3 linked regions of the Oryzias latipes genome follow. The protein of the gene in region 3 interacts with the protein of the main gene of each other region in a pairwise test. Links are inferred from orthologs where the notes say so. Each region holds a gene or a part of one and is shown on either strand. Other genes may lie near its edges.

Region 1 (11,192 bases), on a different chromosome or scaffold from region 3:
TAGGGAGTTTACTAATCGAATACTTCTTCAGACAAAATTGGAACATTTAAAGTTTTTAATATATAGTTTCATCACACTTCTGATCTGTCTACAAAAGTATTTGTTTTTGTTTGTTTGTCTTTGTTCATTAGTTTAACGGGGACAATAAACTAAATACATTAAACAAAAAATACTGCTTCCGTATGCAGTCATGAATGGTGGAACTCAAATGTAAAGCTAAAAATGTTCCCAAAAGAAATTAATAGACAGTTCTTTCAATTAAAATATTCATATATTGTTACTTTAGAAGTTAATTTGAAGGCAGTGTTTTACTAATTTATGGCTTTATAGTAAAAAGAAGGTCAACAGAATTTACAGGAACCATAGTGTTGCTTTTATTCACCATTTTCAGAGTCCGTTTTCATAAATGATATTTGCTAACTGGCTTATTATCATCATGCTATCCAATGTATAACTTTTGCTGTTTTTCATATATGCTCCCAATTCTAAAACAGTTTTTAATTTACAATTCTGGTACAAAAATAAGCCGCAACAAATAAAACAAAACTCAATATTTTAAGAAAATGTTTGCAAAACTAACATTAAATTTCTCGGGAACTGAACGTATAATTTTAAAAGTAAAAGGTGCAGCTTTGTATTAAGTTATTTTAATAAATTAATATTTACTATCAATCAACGCAAGAAATATCTAGCATCCATGGCTGCATCATCATGTTGAATGCCGTTATCTACAACGTAGGTTTTAACAAAGCCAGTTGTTTGATATCAATTATTGACTTACTAAAGAAAGAAAAAAAAGTTAAAATAGATTATACATGGTGTATAAATTGTTTATTGACAAACAACGCAGTTTCACTCAACTAATGCTAAGCTAGGTAACCATTAGCATCTGCACCGTATAATTACACGGCATCGTCTTCAGTCTCGTTGCCGTATTCAAAATCCCATACACTTACCTTCACAAGCCACACACCCGTGTTCAGCTTAGCACCTGTTAAATCAACGTCACTTTTTTCTGACATGTTTCAGGCGTTGCTCTTGTTTTACTCACAGGCAACACGCTTGCGCAAGAATATTAAACTAAGGAGAGCGCGATGGTCCAAAATAGAACAAACTCACAATCACGCGAATTCCCTCCAAACAGCCCAAAATTACGAGTGAACTATATTTTTTTAATCAAACGGTACAAGAATAATGTTTTTTTTAATTTTATACAACTGGAAAGTCAAAACAAAATTGGTTAAAGATAACAAAAACTTTCATACATTTTAATTTAAAGAGGAACATAAAAACATGGAGAGGGTTGTAAATACAATATCAGAACAGGTCACAAAAACACATCATGTTTAAACTAATGTTCACCCCCCCCCCCCCCCCCCCCCCAGCAAAATTATACAAACAATCTGCATTTCCACAAACAAGTACATACATTTATAAAAAAAAAAAGTCTTCCAGAAACCCTGCTGGTAAATTGCTGCAAGTCCAAATTAGACTATGCATGTTTTAGCAATTTATTACAAAAACATTTTGTCCTTGCTGTGGGAGAACCGCGTGTTTAGTTCCTGAGATTTCTTCAGCAGCTGTTTCTTCTGAGCTTCATCAAATCGATTCACCTGCAGGTCTGCATCGCGATCAAATGGTCTTCTTTCCACTGGTTGGTCCGCCTTGTCCTTAGCTTTCTCTTTCATCTTCTTTGCGTGCAAAGTCATTAGAGACTCGGCACGTTTAGACTCCTGAAAAAAAAAACAAGTTAGCACTTTTAGCCCCCATTTTCATCGTGACACACTAATCAAAATTTGAGATTTAGATTAGCAGATATGTAAAGTTTTCCCAACTTACATTATATTTAGAAACCTTTTCTGCCATTTCCAAGTCCTTTCTAGAAACATGCGTGACATCATCCTTTTTCTCTGATTCTTTTTTATTCTTACCTTCAAGACGCTCCTATTCAAAGAAAAATAAGATTAAGAAAAAAAGGGGGGTGGATGCCACATCAAAACAAAGTTATTGTCTTTTCCAATAAATACCCTAGCTTTGCGCTCCCTGTCTGATGGTGTATCTGTCCAAATGGAGCGATCCTTATTTTCTGGACCAGTCCTTTTCTTAAACGTACGAGCTCCCAAGCCGATGTGTTGCAATTCTGGTGGAAGCTCAGTCATCCATGTTTCTCTAGTTGGCAGTGCAGGAGTTTCCTACCCACCAAAAATACAGTATTAGAAAAATGTCAAAGGAAAAAACATAGAAAATGCACAAAGACAAACAGTCTATTGTTTGTAATTTATTTGTAAAACTATTTAACTATAAAAGAAACAGATAATAAACAGAAAAAAAGGAGATGTCTCACAACTCCTGTCAGCTTGTCTTTCATCTGTTTTGCTCGGCGCTCAATATCAAGGGCCACAGAGTTTTGAACAGGGCCTTTGGCAGGCATGGGTCCAATCACTTCCTCATCCTCTCCCTCACTGTTGGAGGATTCAGCACAATAGCCTGGAGGTAGAGCGGGCCCTGGGAGACATTCTCCATCTTCACCATCACTGTCATCCTCTTGATTCTGTGCTGCTTTGCAAAACCCCGGGGGCAGGGCGGGACCAACAATGGGGCGCCTTCAAAAATAATGTAAAAATGTTATCAACTGGCATAGTTTGTTAGCCCTAATTTGCTGGTTCCTTTATAGATGTGGGAATGAACAAAAATATGATGGAAGTATTGACTTTAATCAAACCACACCACAACTGTCTGCAATGACCAAAATGTAATGAAAATAGGAGGGTAGTAAGTACCTCTAAATGGCGCTCAGACCTAGTAGCTGCAGTTGGGTGTCACTGATCAACAGCCCCTCTAAAAAAAGAGGGTTTTTTTCTGTGGGCTGGTTTGAGCATTTTTGGTTTGGTTTCCAAGAAAGAAAAAACATGAGCACTAGTCTGACAATAAAGCTGTTGTCAATTCACAAGGAAAGTGATATAATTTTGAATAACTGGGAAAAAAATAGCAGTTGGCTTAGAAAAGCTGGAGGACAAAAAAGCCATTTCTGTGTGAAAAAATCATCAGAGCAAGACTGAGGATCGAGGAACAAAATCTATAACGACTGCCGACTTAATCTAGACCTCCACATTGGCGAGAGTTAAAGCCGCACTTCTGCAGGAACACCTCAAATCTAACTTTAGGTCTAACTTTAGGCTTGTTTTGCTGCTGTATTTTCTCTATACTTTGCCGTTTCTGAATAAATCTTTAAGTCTTTTTGAACCAGGGTTTTATAGAGGCAAATGTCATACTATGACAAAAGAGTCTACAATAAAACAGGTTAATTAACAGTTGATGATCAGTGAGTTTCCTGCCTCCATCCTAACCAGAAAAATGCACAATCACAATTAAAACAGTTCAAACGATAGTTTCTTTTTTTTTTTTTTTTTTTTACTTTTATAGTCCATTAAAAACATTTCTTAGGGCATCTGCTCACCTTTCAGGAGAACTCTCTTGTTTCTTAAATCCTGGAGGCAGAGCTGGCCCAAAGAAACCGTCATCTTCATTACTGCTCTGTCTGCACAGAGACCGAATCCAATGTCGTTATTTGGCTATAGAGACAATGTATTGGGATTCGAACCTGAAACACTTTAGTGAACCCACTCAGGCCGGTCTCCAGCGCTGTGCCCCGTCTTTGCTCTTTTCCTGGCGATCTCCGGCTCACTTTCATCCGAAGAGCTCGACGCCTCTTCCCGTTTGTATCCGGGAGGCAATGCCGGCCCAGCAACTGCAGAAAAGATAGATATCAAACTAAAGCAAAAATACTTCTACAAGAGTTAACATGAACTGCTGACGTAGCAACAAAAATTATACTTGGATGTTGATTCCTTAACTTACAGTCATTTTCATTAAGCTCGTCCTCGGAGCTCTCCTTTAGAAACATTGGAGGCAAAGCAGGTCCAATTAAGTCTTCCGACGACATTTTGGACTTTGAATTAATTCACTGTTTTCATCAGATTTTGTTAAACGACATAAAACACTTCACAAACCACAAAACGAAGATCGTCCATAAAAAGCTTTTTTGACCTTTTACACAGGAAGTAAATACATTTGTTTGGTCAAAGGCGGAAAAGTGCTTTCAGAATAAAAGCATGGGTTTATTAATGTCGTATTACTTTGGACTAATGTTTTCAGAAATATAAACTTAATGAGAACCCCTAACAAGTATTAAACTATTTGGATGGTTCATGTTCTTTTTTGTGTGTTTGTGTATTTGTGTGTGCGCATGTGCGTCTGTGTATCATGTTCATTCTTTTATTTTATGTTCTACATATATATATGTTATGTTAGGTTATGATTGTTATTTGTGGTGACGTTGTTTATATAGTTACTGTTGATCTCTGTATGATGACTCAATTGTTAATAAAGTTTTTTGGGGAAAAAAACTTTGTACTAATGGTTTTGTACTAATTAGCTGCTGTATTTTTTTCTCATTTATCAAGCCTTATATAGTCATGTAGTTCATATATTCATATTGTAGTAAAAATGTATTGTAATTAGTGAAAATATAGAAGTAAAGGTTGTCATACTTGTACAAACTGGTATTGAGCAAAATACAATCACTGAGGTAGACCTTGGGATCAACCTGAGATTTCATACTAATATTACAGAATCCAGAAAATTTGGTTGTGCAGCTGAAAATACTACATAAACTAATGTGTTAAGATAAAAGCAAGAAAGAAATTTTAAAGTTTTGCAGTTAATTATATACACTAGATTTTTCCATAAACTTTCAGATTAAAAACACTCCATGAAAACACTGTGGCTAATGGTAAATACTTATAAAGCGCTTTTCTACCTTGAATTTGGTCTAAAGGGATCTTGAGTCAAAGTCACATTCACCCATGCACACACACATTCACACACTGATGGTGGCTCTGCTGCCATGCATGGTGCTAGCCTGTCCCTCCAGGAGAAACGTGAGGATCAGTGTCTTGCCCAAGGACACTTAAACATGGGTGGGCAAGGCAGGAATCAAACCTGCAATACTCCAATCAGAGGTCAACCTCCCCAACAATGCACCACATGCCGCCTCTAAAGGCAGAAGAAATTGAAATGTAGTGACTGAGGTTGAATCTTCAATGTTAACTTTGATATAATCAAGTTTGTTGTCAAATAAAGAATACAATTCAGGCACAAAAGAAATAAAAATAGATCAGGAGGGAAAGATGAAATGTTTGAATTCCAAGATCTACCAATGGTGCAAAGGGAAAATAGGTACAATTTTAGTGCTCACAGTCCACAGTCTAGTACATTATACACCCTGTTATGCACTTAGTCCAGAAAAGCGCAGTGCTAGGAACAGCTAAGAAACTGCGCAGGACCCTCAAGCTCCCAGGCCTCTGGTAGAGGACCCGAGCTTGGATTTTTATAAATTACCCACTTTATCAGACACTTACTTGATTCTGCTCTGGGACAGCGCCTGTTAAATGTTCTGGGGGTAGGCTATATTTATTTATTGAATTATGAACAGTATAGGACTCCATAGGGCTAGATGGTTTAAACATTGATAAAAGGACGTTGAGTGAGAACTGCCAGGATGTAGTCAAGGAGGACATGAGGGTGTTATATAGTGGTGGAGAATACATAGGACGTGGTTAGGCAGAGGCTTTTGCTGTGGAGACTCCTACAGGTTACAACTGGAAAGCTAAAAATAAGCTCTGCATCTCATTGTGAGGTTCCACTCCACGGCAGAAGGGGGCAGTAACGCGCTGCTTAGGTTTCTTCAATAAAGAAGAAAAAATGAGGACCGGAAGCTTTCTTCATCTGGATTTTCACCATTTTGGCTAAATTTCTTGAAATTGACGCACTTGTTAGTGCTCTTTTGCAAATTTTCCGTAGAATAATTTAATTCTGTATAATGTATTAGACATATTTTATAACAGACATTTCATAATGGGTAGAAAGGACAGAGGAGAGCGGGGTAAGTGACGTCGTTACACAACAACAATCTCATTCTCATCACTCACTCATTTTTAATATTTTGTCTTATTTTTTATATTGTCATAATACATAAGCTTCTCGATTTAGTTTTAAGCAAATGATAGTAAGATAATTCTGCTGCGAGGACAGAAGGGCAGGTTTGTTTTTGACTCACTGTTATTACTTTGATCAGGTCAGATCTGATGTAAATAAGTCGTCTTAAAATAAATAACTAAATAAACATCACATCAGTGATGTCTATCTAGAAAGCAGTTGTGTGAGAATACTGTCTCATTTCTTGACCTGCTGGGCTGTAGAAAAGAAGTCCAAAAAACGTTACTATGAAGAGGAAGAGGAGGATGAAGAGGTAGCCGGTAACGAGTCCCAGGAAGCCGTACCCGCTGCTGCAGGAAAACAGGTGGATGAGTCCGGTACAAAGCTGGATGAGTATGGGGCCAAAGACTACCGTGTTCAGATGCTGCTGAAGAATGACCACTCTTCACGGCCGCTCTGGGTGGTAAGCTGTGCTTGATGGGCTCTTGGACTCATTTCAGGCTTCCAGCTTCTGCGCAACTGCAAAGTATTATTATTGTTTAATTTTTTTATTACCTCTTCTAGGCTCCAGATGGGCACATCTTTTTGGAAGCCTTCTCACCAGTGTATAAATATGCCCAGGATTTCCTGGTGGCCATTGCAGAGCCTGTGTGCAGACCTAACCACATCCATGAGTACAAGCTGACTGCATATTCTCTATATGCAGCTGTCAGTGTGGGACTGCAAACCTCTGATATTGTGGAGTATCTGCAGAAGCTCAGCAAAACATCTGTACCAGATGGAATTGTACAGTTTATAAAGGTTTGACAGCAAAATCTGATGGAAAAGGTTTTTATGGCGATTGAATATTATTATTTATCTCTGTTTGTTTTTGATCAGCTCTGTACTGTGAGCTATGGCAAAGTCAAGCTGGTGCTCAAGCACAACAGGTCAGTTTATTTGGATGGTGCGTTAGTTATTTTATCACCAAGCGTCTTTTTAGCACCCTTTACGGGTTTTGTCTTCTTTCAGGTATTTTGTGGAAAGTGCCTTCCCTGATGTGATCCAGCGCCTCCTGCAGGACAGCGTTATCCGTGACTGTCGTCTTCGCACTGCCGGCGGAGCAGACTCTGAGCTCATTACTGAGGTCATCCACAGCAAGCCAGCGGTACGCTAAGCAGGATTTCTTTGCATTTAATGACATTTTTTACATGCAATGCTCATATTTGAAGGTACTTTAAAATTCTTTAATTTGTAAATAAAAAAAGTGAAAATATGTTTAGCTAAGGTGTCTAATGCACAGACGGATGTGCTTTCTGTGTGTCACAAAAGATTCTGTGGAAAGATGCATTTCTTTTTGTTTTTGACAGATCACGAAATCGGTTGAAGAAAGAGGAAGTGCTTCCACTTCACAGCAGCCTGATGATGGGCAAACGTCCACCCAACAGGTTCCTGAGGACATCTTCAAATACTATGAGCAAATGGATAAAGATGAAGAAGAGGAGGAAGAGACTCAGACAGTCTCCTTTGAAATTCGCCAAGTATGCTTGGGATTGGTGTCTAAATATAACCACAGTTTTCTTTTTGGCACTTTACTTCAAATTTAACATTATCAAGAAGAAATCGCCAAGTTTTTCTCTCTCTTTTTTTTAAATCTGATTTGCTGTAGGAGATGATTGAAGAGCTACAAAAACGTTGCATTCAGCTGGAGTACCCTCTCTTAGCCGAGTACGACTTTCGCAATGACACGGTTAACCCGGACATTGCCATAGACCTGAAGCCCACTGCTGTGTTGCGGCCCTACCAGGAGAAGAGTCTGCGCAAAATGTTCGGGAATGGACGTGCACGATCTGGAGTCATCGTGCTGCCCTGCGGTAAGCTGCCATGGAGATTTTAAGAGAACCGAGGATGACTAAAAAGGCATTTAGGCATTTAATTCGTTTAATTAAAGGATTTGGAGAGACAGATTTTTAGTTTAATATCAATAGCTTGGAGTTCGTTTTTTTAAAAAGTCCTGCTTTTTATTTTTACCCATCGAACTAAGTCATAAAAGTATAACTAGCTTTACAATCGAAACATTTGGATTCTACTTGTTATGTTGATCCTCTAGTTTTCTGTTAATAAGGAATTCAGGCAGGATCATTTATTTATGTGTTTTTTCTTTGTGGTATTGCCATTGTACTATTGCAAATGCAAAACCTTTTCAATAGATTGTTGCAAAAAAAATAAAAATCTCAGTATTGGACTTAGTTTCTATCAGTATGTCTACTTCTGACCCACAGGTGCGGGGAAATCTCTGGTGGGCGTCACGGCAGCGTGCACGGTGCGAAAACGCTGCCTGGTGTTGGGAAACTCTTCCGTGTCCGTGGAGCAGTGGAAAGCTCAGTTCAAGATGTGGTCCACCATCGACGAGTCGTTAATCTGCCGCTTCACTTCCGACGCCAAGGACAAGCCTATCGGCTGCTCAGTGGCTATCAGCACCTACTCCATGCTGGGTCACACCACCAAGCGATCCTGGGAAGCTGAAAGGGTCATGGAGTGGATGCGGAGCCAGGAGTGGGGACTCATTATTCTGGATGAGGTGCACACCATTCCTGGTGAGTTCTTCAGCTTTGTAGTTTAGAGCATAGTTTTATTTAACATGCACTCTAAAGCTGCATATGTATGTTCCAAAAGGACAATTTATAACAGTTTCAGATGCAGAGAGAGGAACAGAAAGGATCGGGGCAAATGTTTTTGTGAAAGAATTGATCTTTGCATAACTACTCTCATTTCTCTGTAGCAAGAATGTTTCGTCGGGTTCTCACCATCGTCCAAGCTCATTGCAAACTGGGCCTCACTGCCACACTGGTCAGAGAAGATGACAAGATTGTGGATCTGAACTTCTTGATAGGCCCGAAGCTCTATGAGGCGAACTGGATGGAACTACAGAACAACGGATACATAGCCAAAGTCCAGTGTGCAGAGGTGAGAACTCCACTACAGTTAAGGCCACAACATATTTCATGATTATATCAGCTTTGGTCATTTGCCTTTTCTTGACTTTTTAACCTGATAAATATTGAGTTTTTTTGTTTTTTTTTAGTCAAAGCTGTACTGAATGTCATTTGATAAAAAAACTAAACAGATCAATTGGATATGTTTTAATCAGTAAATTACATCAAAATAAGAAATATAAATAAATTATTCAGTTACTTTTTTTTTTGCTTTCTAAATTTCTTTTAAAACATTTTCCTTTTTTATTTACATATCTTTTAAATCAACATTCATTTTTTAAACGTGTCTTTTCACAATTTTTTTTAATGCTACCTAAAAGCTTGTCTGAATAATTAATTATAAAAAATTATTTAAAATATTTCAATGAAAAGCCACTCTATTTATATTATATTCAAATTAAATGTAATGTTTAAAATTAAATAAAGAAATAAATACATTTTAAAATATTTCAATTTATAGCTACAGATCAGAAAAAGTTTTAAAAAGTCTTCTGGACTTGGTTTGTTTTTTTAAGTTGAAGATGTTTTGCCTTTTATCCGAAAGACTTTGTCATGGATGAAGGAAAGTCTCCACAAATATGCAAGCTGCAGTTTAAGCTTCTTTATAGCCTATTTTTGTATGAACTTGCTACTATATAGAAATGAGTAAGAATTCACTTACTTTACTTGCTTCTTCTAACACAAAGATGGAACATATAAAAACTTCTTTATCATTGTGCTAAACAGTGCCGTAACTGTTGTCTTAAAACATTTGTCCATTAATTCTTTAACGAGGTTTCTTTAGAACTTAATTAATGCTGGTTAACGTCTCAAAGATCATTAAGAGCTATTTCTGTGAGGTACAACAGAAACGGAAGGAGGAAGGATCTGCCTCTAATTATTGTTCAAATTTCCAATCTCCTCTTACATCACAAGGATGTCAGTGTTCCTACCAAATCTGCATAATACATTTGTTTTTTATTGTGTTTGACTGGGATTATTTGCTCCTTTACTGTTAATGTTTTTTTTAGATTGTCTTCACCTGTATTCCTTTCTTAAACAATAGATCAAATTATTCATTTGGTTATATTTTTTACGGTTATTTGTGGTCTCTGTTAATAAAAGAAAAGCATTTCTTCTTGGATCACACTGTCAGTTCAGGCAGTCTGAGTGACTGAACTGTCTTTGCTTCAGGTGTGGTGCCCGATGTCTCCTGAGTTTTACCGAGAATATGTGGCCATTAAGACGAAGAAGCGGATTCTGCTTTACACGATGAACCCCAACAAATTCCGTGCTTGCCAGTTTCTCATTCGCTTCCACGAGCGGCGCAACGACAAAATTATCGTGTTTGCTGACAACGTGTTTGCCCTGAAGGAATACGCCGTACGTCTCAACAAGTGAGTTTTCACACTTTGACTAAATCAGCATTTTGTCTTTGTGGAAAATACTTTTTTTATGTGTTCTTTTTTATTTTTTTCAATATTTCTCTCAAGGCCCTACATCTATGGTCCTACCTCTCAGGGGGAGCGAATGCAGATTTTACAAAATTTCAAGCACAACCCCAAGATCAACACCATTTTTATTTCCAAGGTAAATCAGATCCTTCAACTGTGTTGCACCAAGTTTAACTTTTGTCTTTGCATTGCCAAACTTTGGAGCCTGCTCTCCGTGAACAAGCGTTGAGAGGATCTAATTGAAATGAAAACAACAAAACATCTTCCAATTGTCAACGTAACCTGGGATCTGATCCCGTGCTGAAAGCACATAGTCCTGAATTACCATTTTGTCACCGCTAGTCTTAATTCAGGCAGTCCTAATTGCAACCAATTAAATGTTATCATTCTGTTGCGTAGATCATCTGAAGACTTAACTCTTCAAATAACCCTTTCCCTCCTAACACCACTAACACCCTAACGAGCCTAGCCCTCGATTACTTTGCAATTATATAGCTGATCCATCTGTACGTGTATTTAAATAGATTTAATTAGATTTAGGACTAAATGCGTATGTCAGGATTTCTCACTGTGACACAGCTCAAATGGTATTTCTCATAAGTATGTCTCTTTTTGGATTAAACACGTTTAATATTTAATAGAATAGTTTGATGTATGAAATAAGTAATGGGTGCATGATGCATGATTTTAAGTAGGATTGCGGATATTTACAGTTAAGTGTTTTTAGGATGTACTACCACACTTAATTTTCTCTGAATAATATATACCAATTATAGACAAATATTTA
Region 2 (11,151 bases), on a different chromosome or scaffold from region 3:
TGCATGATGGGTAAAAGCAAAGAGCTGTCCAAAGACCTACGCAACCTTATTGTTGCAAAACACACTGAAGGCATTGGTTACAGGGGCATTTCTAAACTTCTGAAAGTTCCAGTGAGTACCATTGGGGCCATCATCTGGAAGTGGAAAGAACACGGCATTACCATAAACCTGCCACGGCCAGGTGCTCATCGCAAGATTTCAGACAGAGGAGTCAGAACAATCATCAGAAGGTTCAACAGCCCAGGACCATTCGTGGAGAGCTTCAGAAAGACCTGGAATCAGCAGGTGCCGTTGTTTCAAAGAAAACAATAAGTAATGCACTCAACCACCATGGCCTCCATGCACGCACACCCTCAAGACTCCATTTTTGAAGAAGAAGCATGTTGAAGCTCGTTTAGAGTTTGCGACACAACATTTGGATAAACCCATGACATTCTGGGAGAAGATACTCTGGTCAGATGAGACCAAAATTGAACTCTTCGGATGTCATAAGACACAACATGTTTGGAGGAAAAATGGCACCGCATCACCCCCAAAATACCATACCAACAGTCAAGTTTGGAGGTGGGAGCATCATGGCGTGGGGCTGTTTTTCAGCATGTGGTACTGGTAGACTTCATATCATTGAAGGAATAATGACTGGAGAAAAGTATGGAGACATTCTTGATCAGAATCTGCTGTCATCTGCCAGGCTGCTGAAGATGAAAAGAGGGTGGATCTTTCAGCAAGACAACGATCCCAAGCACACAGCCAAGGTAAAACTCAACTGGTTGAAGAAAAAGAAAATAAAGCTGCTAGAATGGCCCAGTCAATCACCAGACTTGAATCCAATTGAAAATCTTTGGAAAGAACTGAAGATCCGCGTTCACAGAAAAGAACCTAGAAGATTTGAAGGCAGTTTGTGTGGATAAATGGGCCAAAATCACACCTTAGCAATGTATTCGACTGGTTTCTCCATACAGGAGGCGTCTTGAGGCTGTAATCACCAACAAAGGTTTTTGCACTAAGTATTAAATAAATTTCAGTTAGCGTGTTCAATACTTATTCCCTGTGCCATTTCACTTTATTACACATAACTTCATTTATGGACATAAATGTTTGGATTTCTTTCTATGTGTGCATTACTTGGGTTGATGCCGACATCTGGTGAAAATTTCATGTCAAAAGCTTGATTAGAAATATGTTTTTTGAGAGAAATGTTGACGTGTTCAATACTTGTTTTCCCCGCTGTAATTATTTGCTTTAGTTAAGATAAATCAAATATTTTTAGTTAAGTCAGCTTAAAAATAACACGTAATTATCAGAAATTTATTTTACTTTCATTCAAATTAATTCAATTTAGAAGGTGTAACTTTGGTGCTGCTGTTAGATCGGCAGTGCAAGGAATTGTGGGATACCATTCCCTTTGCCTGTCTAGACGGATTTGGGTTTAAGTGTGAGTTTTTGACCAAATATGTTTAGTTGTTTAGCTGTTTTACTGTGTTTGGCAGAGTTATTTTGTCCTATGCTTAAGTGTCTGCACCATGAGTGAGAGGGAGGGAGAGGATGATGAGTTTATATAGCATGCCTAATGTTCTTGACCTTCATAACAATGGTGGAGAAAGGATACATGATGGCATACAGTGTGTCAAATTTGCTTCTTTCCTTTTATTGTTACAAAAATGAGAATATCTTCTGGCTCAAACTTAGACACATGAGAGTTTAAGATGTACGATAAATTAAGATGGTAAAAGACTTAACCCTTGTGCTATCCTATGACCCCACCCTTACATTGACGTGTTCTCCCTACCATGACAAAGGTGGATAAAGGTGGAAAGATTTCATGTAATCCATGGACACCAGTGAGGTTCACAAATCATTGAAGAAAAAAGGTTCAGCTAGTGGGTCTAGATGACCCAACTCCCAATGTTAAAGTGCCTAGGATAGCGCAAGGGTCAAGTTTTACAAACGTAAAAAATTAGGTTGAATAAATTTAACTCAATTACTTGTTACCAATAGAAGTAATTCATTTAAGTTGGCAAAATTGGACAAGTTATATATATATGCGTCACAAGGAAAATTTAAAATAACATCAGAAACTCGTCCGTTTACTTTGTCCGTTCTTTTTCTCCATGGAGAAACTCTTTTTGTTGATGCAGCCCTATTACTTTTTTGATGGATGTATAATCTTCATACGCCGTCATTGAAATCTCAGACTGTCTCAAATGTATAGTGCTCTCTTTTTTTCTCCACGCGTTTCCATGGTGACTCCGGAAATCAGCGATCTATTCAGAATGTCTTTATGTACTTGCTGTGCACGTGTATTAACCCAGGGTTACCAAGTTGATAACTCATATCCGGTCTTTTGGAACCCACATACCCAGAGTAAGCAAGTTCAGGCGGATTTCAGCCAGAGTTCAGGCTTAAAGTCAGGGTAGATTAAACATGCCTTCTGGAAACCCCCCCTGGTCTGATCAGCTGTTTGATGGCTGAACACATTTACAGACACAAACTGGACTCAGTGCTTCAAAGCTTTATTGATTCAGCCATTATGATCCATTTGTGTTAAAGTGGTTGTTTTTCTTAAAGCCACACAGATCTGCACAAACAAAAAAGCTAAACACAAACAAAACAAACGTCTTTTTTTTTAAAGTGCTGCATTTGGGAGTTCCCACAAAGTTTCTACAGACACACAATTAACTTCAACCTCTTTGCCAAACTAAACTGCAACACAACAGCTGTGGCTCCCCCTAGTGGACATTTGTGAAATCTTAAAATCTTTTAACAAGTCAGCTGTGTTCTTTACGTTCATTCCAAAAAGTCCTCCTCCCCAGAGGAGGTGAAGGGATGAAGATGATCATCTGATTCAAACTTAAACTTAGACCTAAAAGAAGAACGAAACACAACATTAATTTAAACCACAAGTTCGTGGTCATTCTGTCTGCAGGGCTTCAGAGCTTCTGGACATTCATTCTAATTAAGAACTTTAATAGACCAGCAGCAGAAATTCTCCCAAATGAGTCTGAATATTCAGAATCTATGCAGACATAGAACTCTAGAACTCCAGTCCAATTTGGTTCCCTGATCTCAGGCACCTCTTCTCCTGATGGCCTTCAACCTGCAAGAGAAAAACATGTAAACACAAAGTTTGCATGTTCAGAGACAGAAAGGCGTCTCACCTTCAGTGGAAGACGGTTTGCCTCCAGCGTTTGTCAGCGGTGAACGGCCACAAGCAGTCGGCAATGGCGGTGGAGAACGGCCGCGGCTCCACGCTCAGGTTGAGCAGCTCCAGGCGGGAGCAGTTCAGCTGGCTGTTGATTGGACGAGGAGCAGCTGCCGCCGGCTGCTCTGTCAGCTGTGCAGAAAAAACCACACACATGAAGCTGCTGCCTTTAACGCATTAAGGAGGCAAAGGAGGAAATTATTTTCATGTTGGTCTGCTTGCAGAGTGAACTCAGATCTTCCTATAAAGAGAACGCTTCAGTTCCGAATCTCCTTCTCAGGCTGGTTTTGGTCAGAGGTGCTTCAGGACTCAATACTTCACAGTTCCAGCTCTGTTCAGATAAATGTTACTGACATCTCTGCACTTTTGGGCCAAAGGTCACAGAAAAAGCTGTGTCACATTTGATTAAGTATTAAGGCAGCACGCATGGGCCTGACTCAACACTCACAGGTATGAGGTGGTTAGACGGCAGGTTGAAAGCCTGCGCCATGGCAACGGCCATCTCATACTTGGTCATCTGCTCTTTCCCAGAGAAATGGAAGATTCCTCTAATGGATGGATCCTGCAGACAGACAGGCAGACGGTGAGATCGTCATGGACGGGCCAGGCAAAAGGTAAGAATGGAAAAAAAGGGTGAAATTGAGACAGGCAGAAGGTGAGACGAAAAGAGAGTGAGACAGACATGCAGAGTGTAAAACAAACAGGTGATTATACATTCAAAGAGTGAGACATGTACAGAGTGAGACAGATAGGGAGTGAGACAGGATGATAGTGAGGCATGCAGCGTATAGAACAGGTGGAATGTGAGACAGTCATGGATTTAGGGGGTCATGGAATGAGACAGGGAGTGAGATAGACGGAGGGTGAGACATAGAAAGAGTGACACATGTGGAGGATGAGACAGGGAAAGCTGCCTCACCTGTCTGCCTCTCTCGGCCAGCTTCCTGCAGACAGCGGCGACGTCACGAGCGTCGGTGGGGAACCTCTGCAGGCAGTGGTCCAGCGCGCTGCAGCCGTCCTCGTCCGCCTCCTCCACCTTCAGCCACAGCGCCGTCACTGCGCTCTCCACCACCGACTCCACCTCGCCGAACAAAACGGGAACACGCAGGATCACGGCGCCTTTCGCGACACAACAGGGAATCAGTTCCAGTTTCTCTCAATAAGAACAGCGGGTCAGAACCAGCGGACTGGGTCAGAACCAGCAGACTGGGTCAGAGGGTTTAGGAAGGACAGCTGACAATAGCAGGCAGACGGTAAAACGGCCCCCCAGTACCTGGGCAGTGCCTCAGCGACTCCCTCTCCCCCTCCAGCTTGCTGCGCCCGTACACGTTCACCGGATTTGGACAGTCGTCTTCGCCGTACGGAGGACTCCGGCCGTCAAACACGTAATCGGTGCTGATGTAGATGAACAGCGCTCCACAAACAGCTGCAGTCCCATGAATGCCGTTGTCATGGAAACAAGAAAACAAATATCAGCATTTATTCTGTTGCATAATGGAAACTAAAAGTTTTGTGAAAAGAATCCGATTTGGAAGACATTTAACTTCAAAAGGCAGAAAAAAATGAGAGTGTCCAATCAAAGGTCTGAACAAACAAAAAAAAAACCACAGACTGACCTGCCTCTTTAGCAACCGTGCCTGTGGCGTGCACGTTCAGGTGAACTGCAGCTTCAGTGTGTCGCTCCATGACGTCCGGACGGCGCTCTGCAGCACAGTGCACGATCACGTCAGGCTGACACACACAAGCAAACACACACACACACACATGAAAACACATCCGTTTGAGCCCATAACGTTCAACTAAATCTCTAACAAATCCCTCTGGTTTTCCATGCTACATGTTATGTAGATCTCAAAGAACTCTGTACTATGAAAGTACATATTCTGTTGTGCATTGTACTCCCACAGTACAAGCTTTGTGGTACTGATGCTTTAGTGGGTAAGAAGATCATTTAAACATTTAAAACAAAGAACCACAAAAAGAATCTTAAAATCAATCCTGATGATTAAAACTTTAGTTTTGTCCTGTAGGACGTTTTCTGCCAGCCAGAACTATATGTCTAAAATAAAATGTAAAAGAATGTTTACAGGTTCAAGGTCATCAGCAGCCTCAGCGATGTGAAACTAAGTGTCATCAGCAAAGCTGTGAAAGACTACAACTTGTCTTCTGATGACATCCCCCACATGTACAGATGAAAAAGTTTAGGACCTACAATCGACCCTTGGGGAACCCCACAGGTAGCTCACAAAACATCGGCTGCATTGATCTACAAACATTTTTACAGCTTGGGTTTAGCTGCACTTTGTGTTCGACCTGTTTTCCGAAAGATTTCTAAAATAAAATAGTTTTTGTTAAAAATATTCTATCATTTGTCACTTTTGTTAAAAAAAGTAACAGAAGGCAGAAAAAAAAAATCGATTAAAGTTAAAATAGAAAATCAAATTTAGTACGAATGAAATGTGAGATTTTATTGTTTTGGCCAAATTGTCCAGCTCTACTTTATACAACTATATTAAACGCACAAACTTTCACACTGCATTTTCCTACAGGCTCCTACAGTACACACTCTATAGTACTCTATACACCAATGGTAGATACTTTCTCGGACCAAATCCGCTCCCAGTATATGCTCAGTAGTATTCTCTTCTCCTACAGTAAACACTGGGTTTTTCTGGAGTTTACTGCAGTACTTTGCCTCCTGCTCAGTACTCCTGTGTAGTATTATGAGAGGTACCTTGTGCTCGTGCAGCAGACTTCTGACAGCGTCCTCGTCAGTCATGTCACAGCGCAGGAAGCGCGGCTGCGCCCTCCGGTATCCTGTTCCGATGACACTCCAGCCGTTGCTCTGAAACTCTTTGCAGACAGCTCGACCCAGAAGACCCGTTGCCCCGGTAACAAGAACCTTCAGACCCTGGACCAGGTCTTCCTCCTAGATAACCAGCAAGCAGAGACAAAGGAGTAACGTATAAAAAGATACAAGATTTCCACAAACATCTGATCTGCTGCTAGAGCAAGGAGACGGGGAAAGCCATGATGTCCACTGGTCCTGCACAGGCTCTATCCACAGAGTCAGAGCTGTGAGGATGTGACGTCACAACAACGAAACGTAAACAAACAGGTGGAGATGGAGGTGGGCCCTCTTCCCCGCAGATTTAAGAACAGACGGACAGAGAGTCTGATGGCCCACTACTGGACGGGTCAGTTTTCAGTTCTGTTTAAAATAACAGTTCGAACCAGACAGGGTCTAAGTTTGTTTTAAAGATTCACACGGAGGTGAACGGAGACAGACCTGAACGACCTGCACGCGCCCCGGGCTAAATACGATCCTCATTCCTGCGCCTGCGTAGCTCATTTTGGGGTTCTCAATGATCAGATGTGATCCTGCGTCGTCCGCGATTGTCTGGACTGTGATCTGCGTACTTTTTTAACCTACTGCTTCCGTTTCCGGTCAGATCAGCTGATCATCGTCAGGTAACTCTCGCTAAGATGCTAAAGGTTAGCACACAGCTAGCAACCTAAATGAAATGGTCCAGAACCAGTACAGAATAAATACAAACACATTCCAGGTCCTGTTCTGACACTTATTGTCCGCCCAAGCATGCGCAAAACTGAGCTGAACGCTGATTTCTTTAGTGGCAAAGGAAGTGAAGTGATCCCCAATCCTATTCCGAGGTTACACATTTCAGCATTACACCTCAAACAAAATCGGAATTTTACCTCCGGATTTGCTATTCCAAAGTCAGGCATTTTATCTGCAGAAGACTAGACACCAAAATATACTAAGTACACTCTAAAGTCTAATAAACATTACGCGAATTTCAGTAAATTCATAGTTGAATCAGACAGCTTCTTCTTCGTCTGCACTTGCAATTATTCAAGTCAATGAAAGTAGCAGTACCGCCACCAGCTGGACAACCATTCGAACTGCAGTCAGGCGGAGGAGAACTGTTGTCAATTTTCAAAATAAAATAATGTATACCAAGTGTGGTATACATTGGATGTACATATACATCCAAACATTTTCTTCAAACAATAAACAGTTTAGCAATATTTTTTAAGAAAATAAGCAACCCAACAAAATTCAATGAAGTGAAATAACAAAAAATAAACTTTAAGATGGTAATTAAGTAATAAATTCAAAAACGTATTGTCTAATAGTCTTTTTTATAACTTCTGATCATATATTCTTAATTTTTCTGTACAAGCCAAATATAGTTTAAAAAAAGTTTAAATGGTATACTTAAATTAATTAAAACTAATAAATATTAAAAAGACAACAGAAACTGGTTTTAGAAATGTGAGATAATGATTGTTTTGATTGTATTGTTTGAGTCGTTGGGAATTCTGTCCTGCTGCGTTCCTGGATAAAATGTGAAAATTGGAGAATTTCCTGTTTCCGTACAATATGGCAGTTGAATTTGAAGTTTTGCTGACCTATGACTTTGAATTTTTCTCAAAAATGCAATTTATTTGGTACCAGCTACAAATCTAAACTCCTCCTAGGGATTTGCTTGCAACATTGCTCGCAGTTTTAATTTGACTTAGTATTAATAATTTTAACATCAGTAATGATTTACTTTGTCAGCCTTTTAACATAAAAAAACAAAAAACAAAGAAACAGTCTTCTTACTGCTTAAATAATAATTCTTCAATAAAAATATTTTCCACAAGGAAAAAAAAGTAATATATATTTTTTAAATGTCTTAATAAATTGTTGCTTCTGCAGGTAATTATCAAAGAAAAATGTCAAGGTTATATCTGAAAACACAAGACTGTCACGGTGCCTCCGGCTGCTACCTCCCCCTCCCCATCACCTCATCACCTGGCAGACCTTCTTAAGGAGATCCATCCCAGCATACTTCGCCAGTCCGTTATACTCACTCCGGTGCCTATGCCTGGTCTCAAGCTAAGTACTCTCGCTCTAGTAAATTTAAGCTTTGTACTTACTGCTCCTGTCTCACATCTTCAGGTCATCTCCTCTCTGGTCACGCTGGTTCCTTGCTCTGTTCCTGTTACGCCGTCCTCGGCGTTTCCCCTCGCCCCAAGCTGGTCCCGCCGTCCTCGGCGCTCCACCTCGTCTCAGGCTGTTTACACCGTCCTCGGTGCTCCATCTCGCCGCCAGCAGTTCCATCATCCACGACGTCCGCTCCGTCTCAAGTTGGTTTCGCCGTCCTCGGCTCAGACTACGTTGGATTGCTCACGGACCCTGACTCTGGCCCTTCGATCCTGGACCGGCTCTAACATTAAACATCTTGATTCTACCTCGCCTCCTGAGTTTCTTCCGGGTTCCAGCATCTGGGTCTACCTAGTAGTCCGATCATGACACAAGACTATTGAATTGAATTTCTTTGATGTCAGAATAGCCTCCCAGAGCTGCTGTTTGAATGTAAACAACCTTCCACCCTCTCATATATATATATATTTCTCTCTCTCTCTCTCTCTCTAGAGAGGTCAGGGGAGGATGGGGGTCAACACCATCAATTTATCTCCTTTTCTGTCCATAGCAGCCAACGATGCAGAGGTTTTCCTTCCAGCATGGGATGGTGCATTGTCATGCATGAAGAGGATTTTGTTATGGAAAAACGGTTCTTATATTTGTACCATGGAAGAACGTGGTCAATCAGAAACTCCACCTACTTCTCAGAGGTCATTTTCACACCTTCAGGGACCCCCAATGGGGCCGACCAGCTCTCTTTCCATGATTCCAGCCCAAACCATGACTCCTCCACCTCTTTGCTGACGACTCAGCCTTGTTGGGACATGGTGGCCATCTACCATCCCCCACTACTCCATCCATCTGGACCATCCAGGGTTACACGGCATTCATCAGTGAACAAGACTGTTTGCAAAGGAGTCTTCATTATGTCTGGGCCCACTGCAGCCGTTTCTACTTGTGACTGTTCTTTAGTAGGGCCAAGTAGAAGGTTTATCTAGAACTGCAAGCCTCTGGAGGATCCTACACCTTGATATTCATGGAACTCCAGAGACCTCAGCAGCTTTAAATATGTGCTTGCAGCTTTGTAGTATGTGACACAATCTGGAACTATTCCATTTTTGAGAATCTAAAATCTGAAAGAAAAGACTTTCATCTAGAAGCGACTCAAAATCCAGAGAACTGAGAGAATCTTAAAACCAGAACAGATCCTTAGTGACTGAAGAAACCTGATCAACTCCTCAAAGCTGAGAAAACTGGGCTATTTGAAATCCAGCTTTTATTGTGATGAAAATCTTTTTTTCCCCTTTGTGAAATTTTAATTTATATTTTGAGTTGTGGTTGCAGTGTTGTGTGTTTTTTCACTTTGAATTTGTTAAAAGGAGAAAGATTTTAAAAATGATTGGATCGCATCACTTCCTGTGTTGTCCAGGACAAAACCAGCAAACAGGAAGTGACATAACTTGAAGGTGCTGCACCTTCGTGAGGTACAGGATGGACCTGTGTGGTGCTTTAAATAGTGCAGTGGGAGTGACTGGTTCAATTCCCGACTTGTTAACAAACCGTCTCTATAAAAGCTGACTTGGCGTGAGATCCTCCATGGACCAGAACCTCCCTGCTCAGATGCAGATAGAGTAGTGTGGTGCCAGTGTCTCTGTGCTTCAAGCAAGAAAGTGCTGGTTCAATTCCCAGTTAGATATAAGGGTCCTGAGGAAGTGATGTCATCGTGTGTGTCTTTAGACCTGATTGTTGATTTTTGAAACGTGTGGCCGCCTTAAGATCAAAGGAACAAAGAACCGCAGCTCTGGTGTAGACGGATTAGCGCAGTGGGATTGTCTCTCTCCTTGAAGCTGGAGAGTGCAGGTTCAAGTCCTGCTAGTTGTTCATGATTCATGCTTGTGGTGAAGAAGAGACAGAGATGTTGGATGGCTTCATCTTTAGATGGTTGATGATCCAAAAGAGATCAATGGCTTTGTTGTGTTATAAGATGAAGGTTGAATACTAGAGATCATGCCACAGACAGTGGAGACACCTAGGAGGAGGGATACTGGTACCTGGAAAACTAGAACTGATAGGAGGAAACCATAGAAACCAAACCATGCTAGACTGTGTACTATTTATTTGGGGGGGATAGATTTTCTTTTACATCCCGCTAAGAAGCAGCTTTGAGCAACTACTCTTATACTTTCTCAAATCTATAGATGGTAGTTGGTAGAGGTCAAAAACAAAAATGTTGTTAATCTCTATAAATAAAAGTTTTGACTTACCTAGCACCTCAACACTGCCAGATCACCATTGTTGTTGTTAGCTCCTCTGTCAATCTGCACCATCCCTCCCCACCTGTACCTTCTGTGTTCTGACCCTCCACACATCCAAGCTGCATTCTTATTCTATCTAAATGCACATCTTCTTATGGGATCCTCTTCTCCTGGTCCTCCTTCCTCGGGGTGGGGGGCCAAAGATGAAGCCCCCTTTCCTGGCGTCCTGACTCCTCCTAGCCACAGCTTGAATTGTGAGGTGACTGAACACCTCCATGTCCCTGACTGGGACTTGAACCTGCGCTCTCCTGCTTCAAGGACAGAAATACTCCCACTGTGCTAATCTGTCTACACCAGAGCTGCAGTTCTTCGTTCCTTTGAGCTGAAGATGGTCCAGGAGCAGCAAAAACCAACAACAAAAACAGAGATGGGGATTGAACCAGCGCATCTCTGCTTTGGAGATCAAGTCACTTCCATCGCACTGTTGTGTACATCAGCCAGTCGATCACCATTTTTCCACCAAATGTGGTTTTCTGGGATTTGAACCAGCACCTTCTTGCTCTACCATCTCCATAGCAGCAGCTTTGGTTCCTTTCATCTCCATCAGTGGAACCTTGAAGTTGAAGTTTGATTGACAGGTGTACTTCACGCCTGTGACGATTGACGAAAAGAGCGTCGGTTCAAATCTTGAAAGTGGATCACAGGTGGATGGAGGCTTTGGTGACCTGTCCAGGGCGAGAAGCTGGTCTCATCGGTCA
Region 3 (10,556 bases):
GATCAAGATTAGAGACACAGATGATGTCCTGAGGGTAACATGAAAGGAAATCCCCACATCCCGCCACCATGGGAAGGATGACTTCTGGTACTGAGGATGATGGGAAGGACGGGTGGGGCAAAAATGGCAAATGTACATAGTTCAGGTACTGACCACGTTCATGGCTCATTTCCCAACAGACTCACGTCACACCTCCCTCCTATCCGTGGAGATTTTGCCATTTCAATAAAACTTTGTTTAAATTGAAATGAAAAACAAAAGGCACAATGATTTTCAACTCATTCTCGTCTTTAATATGCACAGGAGTTGAAAACATCAATGAGCCACCTTAAAGAGAAGAATTCAATCTAAAATTTATAAAAAGATATAAACAATCAGAGGCCAAAATGCTGTCTGTTGCTTTTCTTCTATTTTATTTAAAACAACTTTTTATTAGCAAGTAAAAATCTTGCAACAAACAAGCTTGTATCTAAGATCAGACACAAGGCAACAAAATTGTAAATCTTTAAAGTGGCTCGGTCTGGTCTGCTAGTTCATGACTGTACACCCTCAAAAGTTTTGTTTGGAAATAGAATTTGAAAAAAAAGCTAGTCCCATGAGAAAGCCTGGGCTGCTCTCGACAACCCTAATCCATAATTAAAGCCTCTTCGTGACCCCCCCCCGCTCCCAAACCCCTGCAAGTCATTAGCAGCCAAACGAAGGGGCGGCAGATCGGCGAGGACGGCGCGGGGTGTTGCAGGCGAGCTAACGCCTTTAACTCGAACCCCAAAACGGCAACTGAAACACAAGACGGTACATTTTTAACAGCCCGTCACCACAAAGAGGGGAGGCTAAGTCTGTTCCAACTTTTAGAGTGCCACTATATCATATATGCATTTATATGTATACGTCAACCCAAAATAAAATTTTAAAACAAACATTTCTATTAAAAAAGAAAACACCCTGCTAATCATGACAGTTATTGTCCATCTAATGACTGTCAGCTGCAGCAGCTTTGTACAGGCTTTATGTCAAATATATGTTCATTAGATGGCAAAGAGAAACATTGTTTTTACAATTCTTCAAACCGAGCGGTGACATCTGACCTCACTGAAAGCAAAGGATTAAGTTCTTTAAAGATCAGGACCTGTACACCCCCTTACACGAGCTTTCCGTGAGCGTAGGTCCCTTTCTGCAGGCAGGTAAGAGCGTGCCCGTCAGACGTGTGCATAAGACTGAAGAAAAAGTTGAATAAAAAGAATTTCCACAGACTTAACCGGAAAAAAAACCAGGAAACTGAAAGTTGTAGAAAAGAAGATGCTTTCTTTGAGGGTTAAAAAAAAATAATAAAAAAGTCCTCCGTCTGATAACTTCTCTGGGTGTGACTTTTGCGTGAAGGTTTAAGTGGATTGCTCCTTCAAAGTTTCACATTATAGGGGAAGTCCGTTCACTGGATGTGACCAAATGCAGGAAAAGTTTAAAAAAAATAAAAAGCAAACCCAAAATGTCCTGTGGAGGAAACGAACGCTACAGTTGATGTGCTCCTCCTCTTGAGTCTCTGCGACCCGTCCACACGCCGCCGCCTGTTATTTACATTTAATACCAACCAAAAAAAGTCGTCGCCATCAGAAGCAAACAGCTGGCAGGTCCTACAATTACATTATCAAAAACAAAAAAATGGCATTTTTCTTCACATTTCTGATGATTTTTCTAAAATAAAACATCTTGATTATCCAACAGAGGTCACCTTTAAAACTCTGGGGCCAAGTCCGTCACTTTGCCAGAGTCCTCTTTTTTTGTTTGTTTGTTTTTACCTTAGAGCCCTTTCCCCCCTCCACCTGTCCTACGGGAAGGCAGCGAGGGTCTGTGGTTATTCATGGCTTAGCTCTGGGGGAAAAACTCTAAACTAGACAGAGGGGTGCCATAGTTGTGTATACTTTGTTCACATCTCTGTACGTATTTATGCGAACCAAAGTCAAAGGGAAAATCCAGGAAGGGGAAAAGCACAAACAAAAAAGCAACATTTCATCCCCGTTAGTGACAGTCTAATAGATGAATGCAGGGCCTTCTAAAGTGTAAAGAAAAAAATGGTGTCCACTCATCGTACAAATACGTGTGGTGATCACAATGGTGTCATAACATGTGCTTGGATTTTGTCTTTGTGAAGACTTGACATTTGGCAAAATCTTGCCCAGAAGGCAAATTCTTCCTTTCGTTTTTACCTTGGAGTTAACATTAGGACATGGAAGGAGAGGCCGAGGCCTCCTCTTGGTGTTCATGGTGTCTCTTATATAAGCAGGACTCCTGTGAAGGGTTACAATCTTCCGTAAAAGACGGCAATGAAGAAAAAAAAAGAAGAAGAAAAAAAACACCCCACAGTGCAGGAGTAGGTGTGGGTGAATCCTTAAGTGGTGAGTTTGGATGCTGACATGAAAATCCTTCGGACCAAAAGGTGCCAGGTTGTGGGATGGATGGGTTCGTGTCTGTGATGGGGAGCTGGGTGGAACCCCACATCCTGGCTTTTAGAAGTTAAACTTCTTTGTTTGCATGTTAGAAGCCGGGTCAAAATTAAAGGTTCCTCCTTGGGTGGTTTCGGGAATCAAGTTGGGATCTTCATCAAACTGGAAGGCAAAGAACAAAGTAGTAAATTTAGTGTTGGACCAGTATGCAAGAAATGAAAAATCTACAAAAAATGAAAATGATAAATAAACTTACAATATCTCCTGAAAAGTATTGATCAATAATCTCAAAAGCTAATTTGTAGATGTCTTCATTTTCATGCTGCTGCAGCTGTTCTATCTTCTCCAAACCTTAAAAAAGATTCAAAATTCACAATAGTAAGAATGCTTTTCATTTTTTAAGGATGCTACTAAGATCTGTTTCAAGTCCCACTAAAATCAGTTTTTTCATCTCTTGTCAAAGTGTTGTGGGTGAGCAGAGTTGTGGGTGGAACTGTTGGAGTTGAGCAATCCTGCCCCCGTCCCATCATCCATCTGTTTATGTGCTTAAACCCCCTCACACTCCAAACCTCACATTACCGGTGCACCAAAAATAGTGAGCAATTGGCGAGCTATCCAGCTGTACAGTTTTAATCCAGATACCAGCTTAGACACAGAAAACAAAGATGTTCATGGATCTATTCGTCTACAAGTGGATGCATCAGAATGGAGCAGAGCAGGGAGCTTGTAGTGATGTGAAGATGGCTGCATTTTACAGGGCCCTGGGGGGTATTCCAGAAAGCAGATTATGTGAGTTACCACGGTAAGTTTGAGGCTAAGGAAGCGGATAACCTCAGCTTTCTGTTCCAAAAACTGAGGTATGTTTCAGGGTATGTCAAGTTGCCATGGCAACTCATGCTCTGAACATAACCTGGTCTGGAGCAGGTTTAGTTGAAGGTTAGTCTGTTTTCAGAGAGGTGAAGCAGCATGGCGTGTCCATTTGAAGATGATTTAGTGGATGAAGAAGCTCAGATAATACTTTTTCCACCGTGAGAGGGTGATAAGACCACATATGGATGTTGGAAAAATAAACTTTTTACATTAATCTAACTTAATTATTTGCTTCAGTTAAGATAAATAATTTTATGAGTTCAGTCAACTTAAAAATAACACATAGTTATCATAAATTTATTTTACTTTTATTCAGATTAATTCAATTAAGTAGGTGTAACTTTGGTGCTGCTGTTAGATTGGCAGTGCAAGGAATTGTGGGATACCATTCCCCTTGCCAGTCTGGAAGGATTTGGGTTTAAGTGTGGATTTTTGACCAAATGGGTTTAGTTGTCTAGCTGTTTTACTGTGTTTTGTGTAGTTATTTTGTCCTGTTGTGTTTTATTCTCTCTGCACCATGAGTGAAAGGAAGGGAGAGTATGAGTTTATTTAGCACCACTAGTGCTGATTATTGTTGCAACAACTGAAGTTAAAGTCAGTCATGTTAGCTGAGTGTATGTTATATATTGCAAATCCAAACTGCATTTTAATGTTATAAAAATGAGAATATCTGGGGCATCACACTTAGACATTCTCTTTTTTTCTCCACGTGTTTCCATGGTGACTCTGGAAATCGGCGATCCATTGAGAATGTCTTTATGTACCTGCTGTGCACCGGGAATTAACCCAGGGTTACCAAGTCGAGCGTAATTACACCAACTCATATCCGGTCTATTGGAACCGACATACCCAGAGTAAGAAAGTTCAGGTGGATTTCAGCCAGAGTTCAGGGTTTAAAAGTGCCTTCTGGAATACCCCCCTAGATATGGCATTGGACATAAATAAATAAATAGTTTCCCCTTAAATTAATCATTTGTGACCATGCATAGGTATTCAGTGTGCACAAATTAGCATTTGGTGGTCACAATTTACCATTTCATCTCAACAAATTAGCATTTTGTGCACAAAAAAAAAAAAAAGACTAATTTGTGCTACAAAACACTGCCAAAATGCTAATTTGTGGCTACAAATTATTCATTTCAGATTAAAAAAGAATTACTGATTTGTCTTGAATGTCTTGTCCAGGGCTTTGTAGCTTCTGATACAATAAATCCTTGATTAAATATGCTCTTTTCCCAAAGGTATTTTTTCATCTGCTTCTGATTACCGTAATGTCCTTAATATGCAAGTCCATCAATAGAAAAATGCCACAAATGCATGTTTGAAACACACACACAAAAAAAACTTTTTTTTGTTTGTTGGAGTGGGTGTTTAATATAAAGCTGCTAACCTCCACACTCCTCTATGATCTCAGCAATAGTGCTGGCTTCCTGCCCCGCCATGATGAGGATGTTCTTCAGGCCGTCCAGGACGACCTGAACCACTTGAGAGTCCTTCACCGACAGCAGGCTGCAGAACGGAGGGATGACGTTGTGCTCCACCAAGAACTCCACCTACACAAACGCATACACACGCGCCACATTCAGGCCTGGTTACAGCACAGGTACACCGTTCCAAGGGTGGAGGACATACATGCAAATCACCTTGTTACACATTTTCGAACCAAGAATCATCTCATCATTGCAAATCTTACTTGTTAATAAAAAATAAAAGGCAATCAAAGATGTTCTGAAAGATTTAAATATGAATTCTGATCAAATCAAAAATATGTTTATTCCAGCAAATACAAGTAAAACATGCCTGTATTGTCGGTAAAAAGAAAAACAAACCTGATCTTTTCTGCCACTGATGGTGAGGTTGCTGATGGCCCAAGCTGCCTCCTTCTGAGTACCAAAATCCCCCTGCAGAGAGCCAAGCTGTTACTGAGATGTACTACCACACCCTTGCTGTTAGGGAATAGAGGACACATCCCAGTAATTTTCAGTAAAACCCTTTTGGAGTTTTTTTCTGGAGGGGGTGATCCCTCCATACAAGTGAGAAAAATCTGCTCCTCCAGGATCCACAAACCTTAGCAAGCTGATGAATGATCATAGGAATCAGTCCAGCATCAATCACCGCTTGGACCTGCTGCTGGTTCCCAGCTGTGATGTTGGACAAAAACCAGACCGCTTCCTGCAGACAGAATATAGAATATACCCGATTGGAAACAGTCATGAAGAAATAAATGTTCTTCAGCGCACAAACCAGAACTGGCTATAGTGTCAGCGGCACAGAAAGCAAGTCAAATGCATAAAACAAGCAAATCTTTCATGATTTCTAAATTCTTAGCAGTGAATTTGAACCTATAAACCCAACTAACAAAAGGTAGCTGTGTTACCTTGTTGATCTTTTCTTTGGGGTGTGAGAGCAGGTTAGGGAAATGTAGGAGGACGTCGCAGTTGAGAACGACCTGCGTCTGTTCGTCTGTGCCCGTTACTATGTTCCCAACAGCCCTCAGAGCTGCCGTCTGGGTGACGGGAGAGAACAGAAACACGTCAGACTAGTAGTCCCCAACAGTTGGTAGTGAGCCGCAGAAAAAACAAGCAAAAAAAATTCATTTTATTTCCATTAATTTATAATCTGTTACTGAAAAAAGTTTTATTTTGAAAAACTACTGGATTGTCTCCACCACCTCTGACTCAGGATAGACTCATGTCACGTCACTCTGTCTCATGTTCCTACAATCGTTAAATTGAAACCCCCACCCAAAGTTTTTAAAAAAATAATACAGGTATTTGGAACGTTAAAGAGCCGGGGAGGAAACAGAGGAAGAAGAGTCTTCAACTTCAAAATAAAAAAAACTGCATTTAACAAACAAAAACCAAATATGTACAAATTCCCACCCTAATCCCTAACTACTAAAAACAATATATAATGCAGGACTATGTAGTGCCCTTGATTTTAAAAGCAATCCAGAGATCACACTCACTACATTTTCTTTTTTGTTTAACCTGACGTTACCAACATCATCTAATTTAATAAATTTGAGTGTTCTATAACTATTTATGAATCCACTCTGTTCTCTAGAGCAGTGTTTTTCAACCAGTGTGCCGCGGCACACTAGTGTGCCGTGGGAGATGGTCAAGTGTGCCGTGGGAAATTGTCCTCATTAACTGATCTAAAAACATTTCCCATCTCCAGGATTTCAGCTCTCTGTTCATCCAAACAGGCCCTGATAAAACACTGAGGAGTTAGGAATATAAAAGATGTAAAATACATTTTCTTTGCGTTTATTTTATTTTATTAAAGACATTTTGATAAGAATGACTGTACAGTACCGCGATTCAGCTGCACCTTCGGCTGTATTTTGGAAAAGTCCCGTCCCTTTAACTGTCTCCACCAATCATTCTTGGGGAGCTTAATCACATGTCATCGGTCTGACCAATCAGAAGCGGTTAAAGTCTTCACTTCCTTGTCCCGATTTAGCTCGTAAAGTCGCTCAGTTCTAACAAAAATAGCAGCTAAAGCTCGTCTTTAGCGGTGTAGCTTTCCACAGAATCCGGTATCAGACCGTGGAACACGTGAACAAAACACTGAAGCTCCGAAAACCGATCTCCAGCCGTTTTATGCACTACATCTCCCATGATGCATTGGGTCATGAGATTGACAGCGCACAAGGAGATCTGTTGTTAAACGTCTTGAAACAACGAACACACATCAATCTGTTTTTAAATCTTCTAACTTAACTTTTATTGCATTTTTTAGGAAAAAAAACAGCTGCAGTTTCCAGCTTTTTCTGACACAATTATATCAAAAATGCATGTGAGATTGTGTAGGGACTGTAGATCAATACAGACCATGAGTTTCTCCTTTTTTTTTTTTTTCTGGATGCTGGTGTGCCGCGGGATTTTTTTTTAAGGTTAAAGTGTGCTGTGGCTCAGAAAAGGTTGAAAAACACTGCTCTAGATAACAACGTTGATATCTAATCTAAAAAATACATTTAAATACTTTTTTTTCTCCCCACAATAATTGTTCAAACGCAATGCATTGTGGTCTGTATTTGCCAATTTAGTGAGCAGCGTTGCACCCTGGTTTTTGGCTAAGACTTCTGGGAAATTTCTAGGGCACTCGATTTTGGAATTGTAGATTGGGACAGCACTACAAAATGGCATCATAACATTAATTATGTGTCATATTCAGGCACTGGCTGTCTAATGAAACGAAGATTCCCATTTATCTATAAAATGTCAGTTTTAGTGACCGCTTTGTTTTGTATTTATCTGTCGCAAGGCTGAGGTTGGCGTCTGATTATTTAGCTTCCACTATGACAGTTTTGGGTTAATTCAGTTCAGTTCATTTCAGTTTTATTTATATAGCCCAATATTACAACACAGTTGTCTCAACGGGCTTCACTAATGGAAAATCTATATCACATTTGAATGGTTCCTATATGTAATCTCGAGGAAAGGTTTAAACCAGCTGCAGATATTTTACAGAGTATGAAGATAAACTTTACCCTCAAAAGTTAAGGGAAACTGAAAGCTTTAAAAACAGAAAATTGGACTTCAGCCTTATACAGGAAAGTCTGGGAAATTAAATTATTATTAACCCGGTCCTTGGCCTATAAAAGGTTAGAGAGCCCTCTTTTTGACCACTTCATGTACATAATGGCTGATCGACACCTTCGACAAAATTTCATCTCACCTGAACTTTCACCTCCTGATGGCTGAGGAGAGGCACGAGAAATGGAACGACCCCAGAATCTATAACCATCTGGATCTGCTCGTTGCCTCCATCCGTCAGATAAGACAGAGCCCACACTGTGTCTACGAGGATCTAAAACCAGCAAGTTTGTGTTACAAAGGTGACTGATTAAACCAGGAAATGAGCAGCGATGCCAATTGGATACTCACATTTAAGTCAGTGTGATATATGAGCATACAGAGTGCCGGCAGAATCTGTAGGAAAAAACAAGAACGAAAGATCTCGAGTAGATGAGTTGTAGCCATCTCATTAGATGAACAAACAGGCCTTCAAAGTAAAAGACTTTCTAAGGTGATGAGGCTGATTTGAAGCACAAAAGCATGTAATCAGGTCCAGACACACCCACCTCTTGCACAGTCTCCATTGGTGGGGGAGGATCCTTGTTGCGACAGAGGTTAACAATAACCCAGGTAACATTACGGAGGAAAGTAATGGGGATTGATGGACTGATGAAAGAGAGCAGCGGCTTCACCACACCCAAGGAGATGACATAATCCCTGCACTGTGGCCCATCGCCTGACCATACGACAGGTGGCATGTCAACATTGCGCTGGACAATGTCAAATGTTGGTACACACCTTTACCACAGGAAAGCACTTACCTATAATATTTCCTAGAGCCCATACTGCCTGTTCACACACGTTCTGGTGAGGAGAGTGTAGAAGGCGCAGGAACAGCGGCACTGCATCTGGGTCAGCAAGCGTCAACGATCAAAAAACCTAATATGACGTGACGTTACCAACACATGAAGATAAAGCTGCTGCGTTGGTGGAGCAGCTTAACACCCCGCACAGGCAGTAGCATCAAGAAACACCTTTGATTTCACTTTAAAGTGGAAAGTTGATGAAAAGAATGCCAGTAAAGCAGTCCACCTGGTTTCCTTTGATGCCCAAGTGCTGACCAGCGTCATGGTGTTCACATTTAAAGATTATTCTTCTGTTTCCCCCCCCAAAAAAAAGAAGAAGCTAAACAATTAATCAAATCTATTCAGGTCTTTGCCTCAATTGTGTCTGCATTTATAGTTTTTTACAGCATGGATTTTGCTATCCCGAGCATTCATCCATTTGTGACTTCATGTCTTTTTTGTGTCGGAATTCAGTTTTAGACATGATATTAATGTATCCACAATTTAAGTTTCACAAATAAAAATAAAGGTTCTGGTCAACAAATGGTTGATAGATGACTTATTTTCATCAATAAGTTAACAGGTAAAAAAGAAAATGCTATTTTTATTTACTTATTACAACAACATCAAATGTAAGTGAACTTTGAGACAAACAAAATAAGATGAAAGATGAATTGCTTAACAGTAAGTCAATACATTTGTTTTTTGCATCCTAAAGAGCTGTCATCACTAAACAAAAGTAGTCTGTTTAAGTGTACTACAAGTATACGTAGTCTGTATTAAAAGTGAGGTAGTATACTTGAAGTTTTCTTAATATACACTATTTATATATTGTAAACTTAAAATGTTCCAATTTAGTCGGAATAAGTATTCAGTGAGTATACTTCCTACACTACATATACTTAAATTCAAGAATACATCATAAAATAAACTTCAAGTATACTACTTCTTGCTAAAGGCCTAAACAGTACGGTAGTCTATAGTCTAGTGCAAAATGAGACACTGAAGAATAGCTGACTGGGATTTGCTGAACTAGTAGAAGACGACCATGCAGACGGCGTCCAGACCCAGACAGACGGGGAAGCATGTGGAGGACGGCGTATGGGGTCGACTTACTGGATTTAACCACAGCTTGAGTCTGTGCCGACGTCCCAGAGGCGATGTTGGTCAGAGCCCAAGCTGCCTCGAACTGTAAAGAAGGGCTACGTGGTGAAAGAGAAAGAAAACAAATCAGCACGAGAAATGAAAACACTGGTTTCCATGACAACAAACAAACGAAGCAAAAATATGTCAAACTAGAAAAGATAAAAATGGCGTCCACCATGTTAAAAACTGATTAGGCTCAGTTTTGTCTCCTACTTTTATTTTCTGACAATTTTATGCTGATTTTGAATTTTTAAAAAAAGCATAAAATGTTTCAAATCAATGTGTACTATAAAAGGATTCATGTGTTCAACAAAGTCACACATTTGCAGATGCTGTTCCTTAAAAAGGCATAAAGATAATAGTCTGATGTAGAACAGTTAGCCATCATTTACATCGTCTGTCAATTCAGTTTACAAGGTCCTCTACCTTTTATCATTATTTGGTCATACATTTCAGAGTGTACGTCTAAACCTTTCATGAAAAACACTCAAAGTTACCGGTAAATATGAATTCCCCTTTAAAATTAAACTCTAAAACCCCAAATTGAGAATTGTTAAGACAGTTTAGCCTGGATGTCACACAACAGTTAAAATAAATAAATAAATAAAAGACTGCTAACCTATGTGGTTTTCTGTTTTCAACATTGCTAGAAATTCTGTTTTTTTTTTATTCCTTTTTAACCATATAATGTTCCATTTAAAGTTCTTTCTTTCTTTACAGAACAGATCTGACAG

The links.
Region 1: the proteins of kpna3 (region 3) and ercc3 interact in binary tests that used the Homo sapiens proteins (3 or more experiments, as listed by UniProt). The link is inferred for Oryzias latipes from reciprocal best matches to the Homo sapiens genes KPNA3 and ERCC3.
Region 2: the proteins of kpna3 (region 3) and mat2b interact in binary tests that used the Homo sapiens proteins (3 or more experiments, as listed by UniProt). The two-hybrid records come from large-scale screens. The link is inferred for Oryzias latipes from reciprocal best matches to the Homo sapiens genes KPNA3 and MAT2B.

Annotation. Positions count from the first base shown.
Region 1 is NC_019861.2:14,774,802-14,785,993, forward strand, and holds the start of ercc3 (general transcription and DNA repair factor IIH helicase subunit XPB), read left to right. Parts: upstream 1-5,747; 5' UTR 5,748-5,916; coding exon 5,917-5,944; intron 5,945-6,260; coding exon 6,261-6,460; intron 6,461-6,561; coding exon 6,562-6,798; intron 6,799-6,876; coding exon 6,877-6,926; intron 6,927-7,008; coding exon 7,009-7,144; intron 7,145-7,346; coding exon 7,347-7,517; intron 7,518-7,645; coding exon 7,646-7,850; intron 7,851-8,258; coding exon 8,259-8,573; intron 8,574-8,758; coding exon 8,759-8,943; intron 8,944-10,145; coding exon 10,146-10,348; intron 10,349-10,444; coding exon 10,445-10,541; intron 10,542-11,192. Other genes in the region: gtf2f2 (general transcription factor IIF subunit 2), read right to left, coding at 957-1,022; gpalpp1 (GPALPP motifs-containing protein 1), read right to left, coding at 1,515-1,733, 1,840-1,944, 2,028-2,192, 2,345-2,603, 3,458-3,538, 3,625-3,748, 3,859-3,943. UniProt on the Homo sapiens protein: ATP-dependent 3'-5' DNA helicase/translocase. Binds dsDNA rather than ssDNA, unzipping it in a translocase rather than classical helicase activity. Component of the general transcription and DNA repair factor IIH (TFIIH) core complex.
Region 2 is NC_019872.2:23,842,083-23,853,233, reverse strand, and holds mat2b (methionine adenosyltransferase 2 subunit beta), read right to left. Parts: upstream 6,669-11,151; 5' UTR 6,555-6,668; coding exon 6,492-6,554; intron 6,400-6,491; exon of another isoform or gene 6,289-6,399; intron 6,132-6,288; coding exon 5,937-6,131; intron 4,934-5,936; coding exon 4,819-4,933; intron 4,629-4,818; coding exon 4,476-4,628; intron 4,322-4,475; coding exon 4,122-4,321; intron 3,765-4,121; coding exon 3,651-3,764; intron 3,335-3,650; coding exon 3,161-3,334; 3' UTR 3,159-3,160; intron 3,098-3,158; 3' UTR 2,493-3,097; downstream 1-2,492.
Region 3 is NC_019879.2:9,667,090-9,677,645, reverse strand, and holds part of kpna3 (importin subunit alpha-4), read right to left. Parts: intron 9,879-10,556; coding exon 9,793-9,878; intron 8,740-9,792; coding exon 8,653-8,739; intron 8,568-8,652; coding exon 8,398-8,567; intron 8,246-8,397; coding exon 8,201-8,245; intron 8,124-8,200; coding exon 7,992-8,123; intron 5,815-7,991; coding exon 5,686-5,814; intron 5,481-5,685; coding exon 5,376-5,480; intron 5,210-5,375; coding exon 5,138-5,209; intron 4,862-5,137; coding exon 4,699-4,861; intron 2,790-4,698; coding exon 2,695-2,789; intron 2,601-2,694; coding exon 2,502-2,600; 3' UTR 1-2,501. UniProt on the Homo sapiens protein: Functions in nuclear protein import as an adapter protein for nuclear receptor KPNB1. Binds specifically and directly to substrates containing either a simple or bipartite NLS motif.